Alligator mississippiensis: one gene and its partner. The protein of the gene in region 1 interacts with the protein of each later gene in a biochemical or structural test. Links are inferred from orthologs where the notes say so. Each region holds a gene or a part of one and is shown on either strand. Other genes may lie near its edges.

Evidence for each region.
Region 2: the proteins of GJD2 (region 1) and LNX2 form a complex in vitro, tested with the Homo sapiens proteins (2 studies listed by BioGRID and IntAct, with this or other methods). The link is inferred for Alligator mississippiensis from reciprocal best matches to the Homo sapiens genes GJD2 and LNX2.

What each region holds. Positions count from the first base shown.
Region 1 is NC_081825.1:248,065,769-248,069,515, reverse strand, and holds the start of GJD2 (gap junction delta-2 protein), read right to left. Parts: upstream 2,176-3,747; 5' UTR 1,641-2,175; coding exon 1,570-1,640; intron 1,231-1,569; coding exon 387-1,230; 3' UTR 1-386. UniProt on the Homo sapiens protein: One gap junction consists of a cluster of closely packed pairs of transmembrane channels, the connexons, through which materials of low MW diffuse from one cell to a neighboring cell.
Region 2 is NC_081824.1:428,179,536-428,183,282, reverse strand, and holds the start of LNX2 (ligand of Numb protein X 2), read right to left. Parts: upstream 2,485-3,747; 5' UTR 2,380-2,484; intron 1-2,379. Other genes in the region: protein POLR1D, read left to right, coding at 2,693-2,718.

The sequences.
Region 1 (3,747 bases):
TCCCCTCCCTCCCCAGTAAAGAGCATCCTTGCAATTTTTTTTTTAAATATGAACATTCTACACTTGTTTACAACAATTAGTCAGACAGTCCAGACTGTAATCTCACCCTAACGATAACCAAAACAAGCCACTCCAGTCAAAAGATAACATTGGATCATTAGCAATAAAGTAACTGTGCTGTAAGGCTAGATCAAGCATAGTTTTATAGCTGTTTTTTCAGTCTCTGATGTCGTACTGCATTGTTGTATCTAGTTCAATAAGTGCAGATCTGATACCTTAATGGCTTTCTTGGTGGTTTGATAAAATGCTTGCCTAAGCAATGTACCTTTCCCTAATGTTGTCTGGGTCTGTTCCACCTGGCACAGTGTTTCAGTTCTGTCACAGGCTCACACATAAGCTGAGTCGCTTGACTGAGTCCTGCCAAAGTTAGGCATGCTCATTCTTGGCAGGTCTTTGTTTCGGATTTCATATATGGATTTCCTTTTGGCTTGTACTCCTCTCACCGCCATTTTGATCTTTCTCCAGCCCAGGTGGTTCAGTTCGGCCAGGTTGAGCACCACACAAATCCCACTCACCGCAAACATGAATACCAAGAAGACAGTCTTCTCAGTAGGTCTGGAGACATAGCACTCAACTTCCTTGATGCAAGGGTATCTGTCGCATTCGTACATGGAAGGGACGTTGAAGCCATACAGGAAGTACTGCCCCACTAAGAATCCAATCTCGAGCGCATTGCGAAAGACCACCTGGATGATGTAAAACCGGGAGATGCCTTCTTGCCTCCTCATCTTGGACTTGGTGGTTCTGATGGCCGGGTTGGGGATTTCCTTCACTTCCAGGCAGTCAGGCTCAGCTTCTTTGGTGGAGTTCTCCGTATTCTGTAGCACTCCGTTGACAATGGTGTTCTTGATCTTCTTGCTGTCGTCTCGTTTCATGGAGTCCTGGTCCCTGTCCAAGGTGAGGAAGACGGTGGAGTACCTCCTCTCCCGCTGCTTGGCGGACTGGTGGACAGAGTAGGTGATGAAGCAGAGGCTGGGGGTGCAAACCATGATGATCTGGAACACCCAGTACCTGATGTGAGAAATAGGGAACGCCTGGTCGTAACAAGCCTGGTTGCAGCCCGGCTGCAGCGTGTTACACACGAACATCGTCTGCTCGTCGTCGTAAACCGTTTCCCCCACAATGGCCACAATGAGGATCCTGAAGATCACCACCACGGTCAGCAGGATCCTGCAACACAGACGCGCGTCAGTGCCCGGGGCCCGCGGGAGCGGCCGGGGCAGGGCAGGGCAGGGCCGGGCCGGGCCGCCGGGAGCTGTCCAGTGCTGATCGCGCCGCCGCTCGCCCCGGGCTCCGGCCGGCTCCCGCTCCCCCGCCGCGTGCCCGGAGCCAGCCTCCGGCGCCACCAGAAACTTTTTGGCCGGGAGGCATTGCGGAGGGGGCGGACTTGAGAGGAGTTTGCCGCAATTTCCCCTGCAATCTGCACCCCCTCCCGCCCCGCCGCGGTGCGCCCCCAGAGCCGCCGCCTGGGCCCGAGGCAGCGGGGCCGGGCCGGCGTCCTGCCCTTACCTCCCGATCATCGTGGAGTGCTGCTGCACGGCCGCTTCCAGCAGGCGCTCTAGGATGGTCCATTCCCCCATCGCTGTGCATCCGGAGCCAGGAGCCTGCGGAAGGAAGCGGCGGGGCTCTCCTCCCTCCTGCTGCCCGGGGTCCCCCGGGGGCTGAGGCCAGCGATGCCGTGGGCGGGCGGGGGGGGTTCCGCAGCGCCCTGCCTCGCCTCGCCTCGCCTCGCCTCTCCTCGCCTCCCTGTGCGCCGCCCCGCAGCGCCGGGGCCGGGGCCGGGGCCGGGGCCGGGGCCGGGCCGGCCGGGCCGGGCCGGGCCGGGCCGGGCGGGAGCGCGGGGTGCGGGCGGGCAGGCGGGCTGCGGGGGTGCGCTTGGAGCCCGCCTTGGCGGGGAGGCAGGTTGGGCTTTAATGTCTTGCTGCCGCTAATCCGCCCTTAAGTAGGCTCCGCTTGCGTCACAGGCAGGTCGGGGGAGCGCGGCCAAGAGCGGCGCGGGGATTTTCTCCATGTTATTTATTCCGGGGGAAAGAAAGAGGCGGCCCCGCGGGGGCAGGGAGTCCTGCGCGGCCGGGGGCCCCGGATCCGCCGGCGCTGCCCCGCGCCCGGGGCCGCCCCCGCCCAGGCCTGCGGGCATGGCCGCGCCCGGGGCACCCGCGCCGGCACTGGGGGCCGGGCCAAGGGGACCTATGGGCTCTGGAAACTCCGCCTCGCAAGTCCCTCGCCTCAAGTGCCGGAGGCTGCGCGGGAGTGGGGGCTGACCCCGTCCCTGCTCCTGTGCGACACTCCCTGCCCCTACGCCTGACCCCGCCAGTGGCACTTCTCCTGTTCTTATGGTTTTATCACTTGTAGTCATTTTCCTCTGGTTTTTCAGGTCCGCCCCTGACACCAGCTCATGGTTGGGCCTCCAGCACCTTGGCACCAGGCAGAAACGTGCTACAGCCAGCCTGGGATGTGACACCAAAGGTCTCGGAAACCCAGCACTCAGGCGAGAGCGGCTTTACAGCTCTTTCTTCTTCTTCCGTCTTCACCTTGGAAGATCCTGGGACGCGTGTGTACATCTTAGTTGTCACTGATTTTACATTGGCAAGAATCACACCCAGTGCACTCTGCTGTTCAGCATCTGCTCCCTGTCACTGTGAGACACAGGAGACTGGGCCAGGTGGGCCTGTGGTCTGACCCGGTAAACGCCTGGGTTCTACTGCGGCCTCATTTCAAAGCAGTGTCTTCTGTTCCAATTAAAATACATAGACTACTTCTAATATTTTCCTAGAATAAAAGAAAGAGAATGAGAGAGAAAAAGTGTGTATTTATTTGAATGCTGTCACCAGCTGTTTACACAAATCACAGAAAGGTTGTGTTTCCTTGGTTGAATGCCTAGACTAGAAGGAATCCATACATTTTGTTATCATAAAATACTTCAACTATTTTTAATATGTTCCCCTTCAGTGTCATAGATGATTGGAAAATGAGAGCAATGCTATAGGAGGATGTCGTGTAAAGATTACCTTGACATGAGTTTGGGTTGACTACAGAAGTCTCAAGTGGTGAAGCTAACAGTGAGTTATTTTTTTTCCCAGTCAAATACCAATCAGACCTTTATACCATACCACTCAGTCATAATTTTTGCACATCCCATAAATCATTCTCAGGAAGCTATTGAATAAATATTTCAGGCTGTTTGCGGGTACTGTTGTTTACACTGCTGGACTAGCAAGAGCAAGCTGCTTTAGTCAGACAGCTGGTCAGACTACTGTAAATAATTGAGTCCTTTGTTCTTTTTCTGAGTCTTTCCTGAACCAGTTCTAGTTTTTGTAAATGACATTAAGTATTTGCTAAATATTTGAGATAAAGTCTCTTCAGTGTAAAGGCCATTTGTTACTCAAACAATTCAAGATTTGCTGCCTGTTATTTGTAGTGAGTGACAATGTTATGTGACCTACATAATCAGTCTACTTTCTGATTATATATGATTATATTCAGTTTGTTAATTATCAGTTATGAACTGAGGAATATACTTGTTTGTGCAATAATGGGTCAATTTCCCCTACCTGTAAACCAGGTATCCAAATTACCTGAGGCATTGAACAATCTGATAGGTTTTTTTCTTTGCTTTTTGCAATTATTAGGCCACCTGACTAGTCAATGGCTTTCCTTTCTGTCCAGCTTCATGCTCTGAGCTGCTTC
Region 2 (3,747 bases), on another chromosome or scaffold:
ATGTGCATCAGGGTCTTGGCACAGGCTGCTCTGGGCAGGTAAACCTTCACTGACATCAACCGGACTTCTCTGAGCAGACCCCTGCACCTGTGAGAACAGTCAGCAGTATCAGAGTCCGTGTTTTTGAAAAATGAAAATTAAGATGTTCATATTTAAATAACATAATGCATCTTTCCGCAACAAACACCAGTATGTGGTGCCTAATCCTCTTGCAAAATTGTTACCGTTTCACTGAAAAACACATTGATTCATTTTAAATGGACATTAGGCTTGTAAATTATTGACAGGACATGTGAAAGTATTCTATTGACTTCTCTAGCTGGGGCTGAATTCAAGGGTCAAGGTTTGGCCTGCTTGAGTTGATGCAACTAAAGCCTAAAAAAGGATGAACTGTTCAGCAAGTTAGGAAGGTATTACTAGATGCATTGATTTTAAATAATTTATTTGTAATTACTAATTATATCAGTGGGCTGTAGTAATTTTAAAAAGGCAAATAGGTTATTTTTATAAATCATTCCAGTTCACCATGCAATGTTTTCTTATCTAACAGTTCTGTGCTAACCAGCTGACTTCCTCCATAATTGCTTGTAAGCCTATTCCAATCCTTCTTTTCCTGAAATACTTCATCAGCTAATACAGCACCAAGTAGAGGGAGACAGGACTCCCACTACTACTCCTCAGAAAAGTTATGGTAGTAGTGCTTTATTAAGCCACACTAATGTTCCTGAAAGGAGATGTATACACCTTGGCTCCATTTTGAGGAAATTTGTTTTAACAAAGCACAGCAACATATGGCACCAGCATCTTTATTTTGAAAGTGGGTAGGGATGCTAACTCAAACCATCTGATGTTTCTTCCTAAGCCTCCTTATCTGCTGTCAGATTACATGCTTAGGGTAAAACATCAGCAAGCCAAAAAGAAGTGGGAAGAGGCATAAGCATCAATCAATCAACTTATTTAATGAGATGAAGAGTCTAGCTCAGAATAATTTCCCTTTTTAACAGAAGGCCAAACACACACATTTATTTTCAGACACTATCATCAACCATATCCTGGGGTTAATCCGTAACAGACATTTTTACTTTGTAGAAAGACAAAAATAAACCCACATTGTAATGTAATTAAAAAAGGAATTAAACAAGGCTCAGAACTGCTTAATAGTGGATTTCTACTGAAGTAAACAATCCAATGGTATATACATTAGCAACACAGTAAAAAAAGTCACAGAGGACTGTCATATTTGCCATGGGCACATCCAAAATTACCAGTTCGCTACACTGCTGATTACTAACTTTTCATCAAGAGCAAGAATGACTCTGAAGTATCCCTTATTACAGATTTTTCACAGATAGAAACTAATGAATAAAAAATAGGGCCTTTGTTAGAGAAGAGAGAGTGAAATTTACTCTTCTGAAATAACTGTCTATTATAGATGCTTCGAGGTGTACATTTAGCTATGATTTGCTATGGTAGGGTTGTGAAACACATAACCTGAACCCAACTCCTATAACAGGGGCTTGCTTGCAGCTGTTCTTTCTTCCTCCCACACACACAGTAATTCAACTCCTCCTCAGCCCTTAGAACTCTTTCATAAAATTACATCCGAGCGGCATACACGTATTTCAGTAACAGGCTGAATAAATACATCCGCAGTCAATCCCTCGTACACAAGCCGAAACACAAATATCAGTTTTGTTGCATATGCAATTTAGGTTTCAGTGCAGCCTTCAGCATATAATGACAGCTCAGGTTTGGGAAAAGAATAGCTGTAGCTCTTCCAGCCTGCAGCTGCAGCCAGCAAATACCCACTCCCCTCCCTCTGAGCAAGTGCAGGACCAGAACCACCATGAAGAAACCTCATTTCTGTGCTGGAAAGGAGGAATGGCAATAGGCTAGGAAAAAAAGGATGAACCCTTTTTTCTCCTCACACCTCTGCAACCATGATGCTGACTGCGCCTGGAGCAATGGTCAGGGATGCAAAATAAAGGGGGGGGACTTTTTTTTTTTTTTTTTATTCCCGGCACAATATTAAATGTCAGACTGGCAAACAACAGGGAGGCAGTCCTGTTTATTCAGGGCTTCTCCCCCTGACCGGAGCCCAGCGTGGGAAGGGTTCCGGCTCGGGGAGCACATGCGGAGGTGCCTAGAGGGGACTCGCCCTCCCCCCGCCGGCGGCAGCCGCCTGCCCCTGCCCGCACCGCGGTCTCCAGAGCAAACTTGGCTGCGCCCGAGCCCGCCCCATGCTCCTGCCCGCCCCACACTTGTTGCAGCGCCCGCGGTCCTCCGGCAGCTCCGGCCTCCCCGCGCGGGCCAGGGCGATGCCCTTGCTGGGGGCCGGGCGGGAGAAGACGCCCTAAGCCGAGCCGGGAAGTTACTCACCGCCACGGATGGCTCGTCCGCCCCGGGCCCGGGGGCAGCTGTCCCGCACTGCGCGGCCGCCCCGGCCCCGGCCCCGGCCCCAGGGCGTGGGGGGGAGGAGCCGCCGCCGCCGAGCCCCGGCCACCAGCGAACCCCGGGCAGGAGCCGACGGGCCGGGGGCGGCACCGGGGGGCGGGGACAGCCGGGCCCCGCCCCCATCGGCGCACGTGGCAGCGTCGCCCCGCCCGCGGAAGGGGGCGTGGCCCGGCGGCACCCCGCCCCTTCCCCGGCCGGCCTCGCGGTGCTGCAACCGTCCGCGGGGGGAAGGGCCGCCATGGACGAGGACCCGGAGCTGGAGCGGTGAGAGGCGGCGTTGGGGGCGGGCGGGCGCGGGCCTTGCTCCTGCTGGCGCGGGGCCCCGTCCTCTTCCCCTTCCCCTTCCCCGTGTGGCCCGCCGCGGACGCGGGGGCCTGCCGCAGCTCGGGGCCGGCGGCTCCGCGGCCTGTGCCGCCGGGCGAGTGAGGCCTTCTCCTGTCTGTTTGTGTCTTCCGCAGACCAGCGAGGCCTGCTGCGCGCGGGCGCGGCTGGGCGTGGAGGGCACGAGGGGAGGTGGAGGTTCCCTCAGGGGAGTGCGGAGCGGCCTGGCCGGCACAGGCTCGCGGGCCGCGTCTGCCCGAGGTTGCTCCTGTCGCCCTTGCAGCCTCCGGGCCGGGCCCCGCGCTCCCTGGTCCTGGTGCCCTTTGCTTTCCTCCCACAATTTGTCCAGGCCCTTTGTGAATGTGGCTGAACTGTCGGCTTCCCCCGCGTGTGAGGGCAGCAGGTTCCCACTTGCATGACTTGCTGTGTGAAAAGAAACTTGGTTTAATTGGTTTTGAACTCGCAACCTGCTAGCTTCATTCTGTGACTGTCTAGTTCCTGTCTCGGGAGAGTCGATGATCTGTCCCTGGTACTGTCTGTTCACCATTTACTGGTCTGTAAATCCTTCTCGTGCCCCCTGCTGCAACCAGCTCTTTTCTAAATTGAATAGGCCTAGGCTCTGTAGTCTCCCCCCTTGGGAGAGCCCCTCCATACGCTAACCATCCTTATTGCTCTTCTCTGGGCCATCTCTAGTTCTTCTGCCTCCGTTTTGAGGTGTGAAAACCAGAACTGGGCACTGCATTCAAGGTGTAGATGCACCACGGATTTATAAAGCGGCATAAGGACACTTTCTGTTTTGTTTACAATTCCCTTCTTAATAATCCCTCGCATTTTGTCTGCCTTCTTGATGGCACCAAGCTGATGTTTTTATCCAGCTGTCCACAATGAAAGGAAATGTTCTGCCCTGTCATCATGGTCTTTGCAGTAGAAAAATGGCTCTGTTATTTTTTGTAGTCAAAGAATGCGAACATA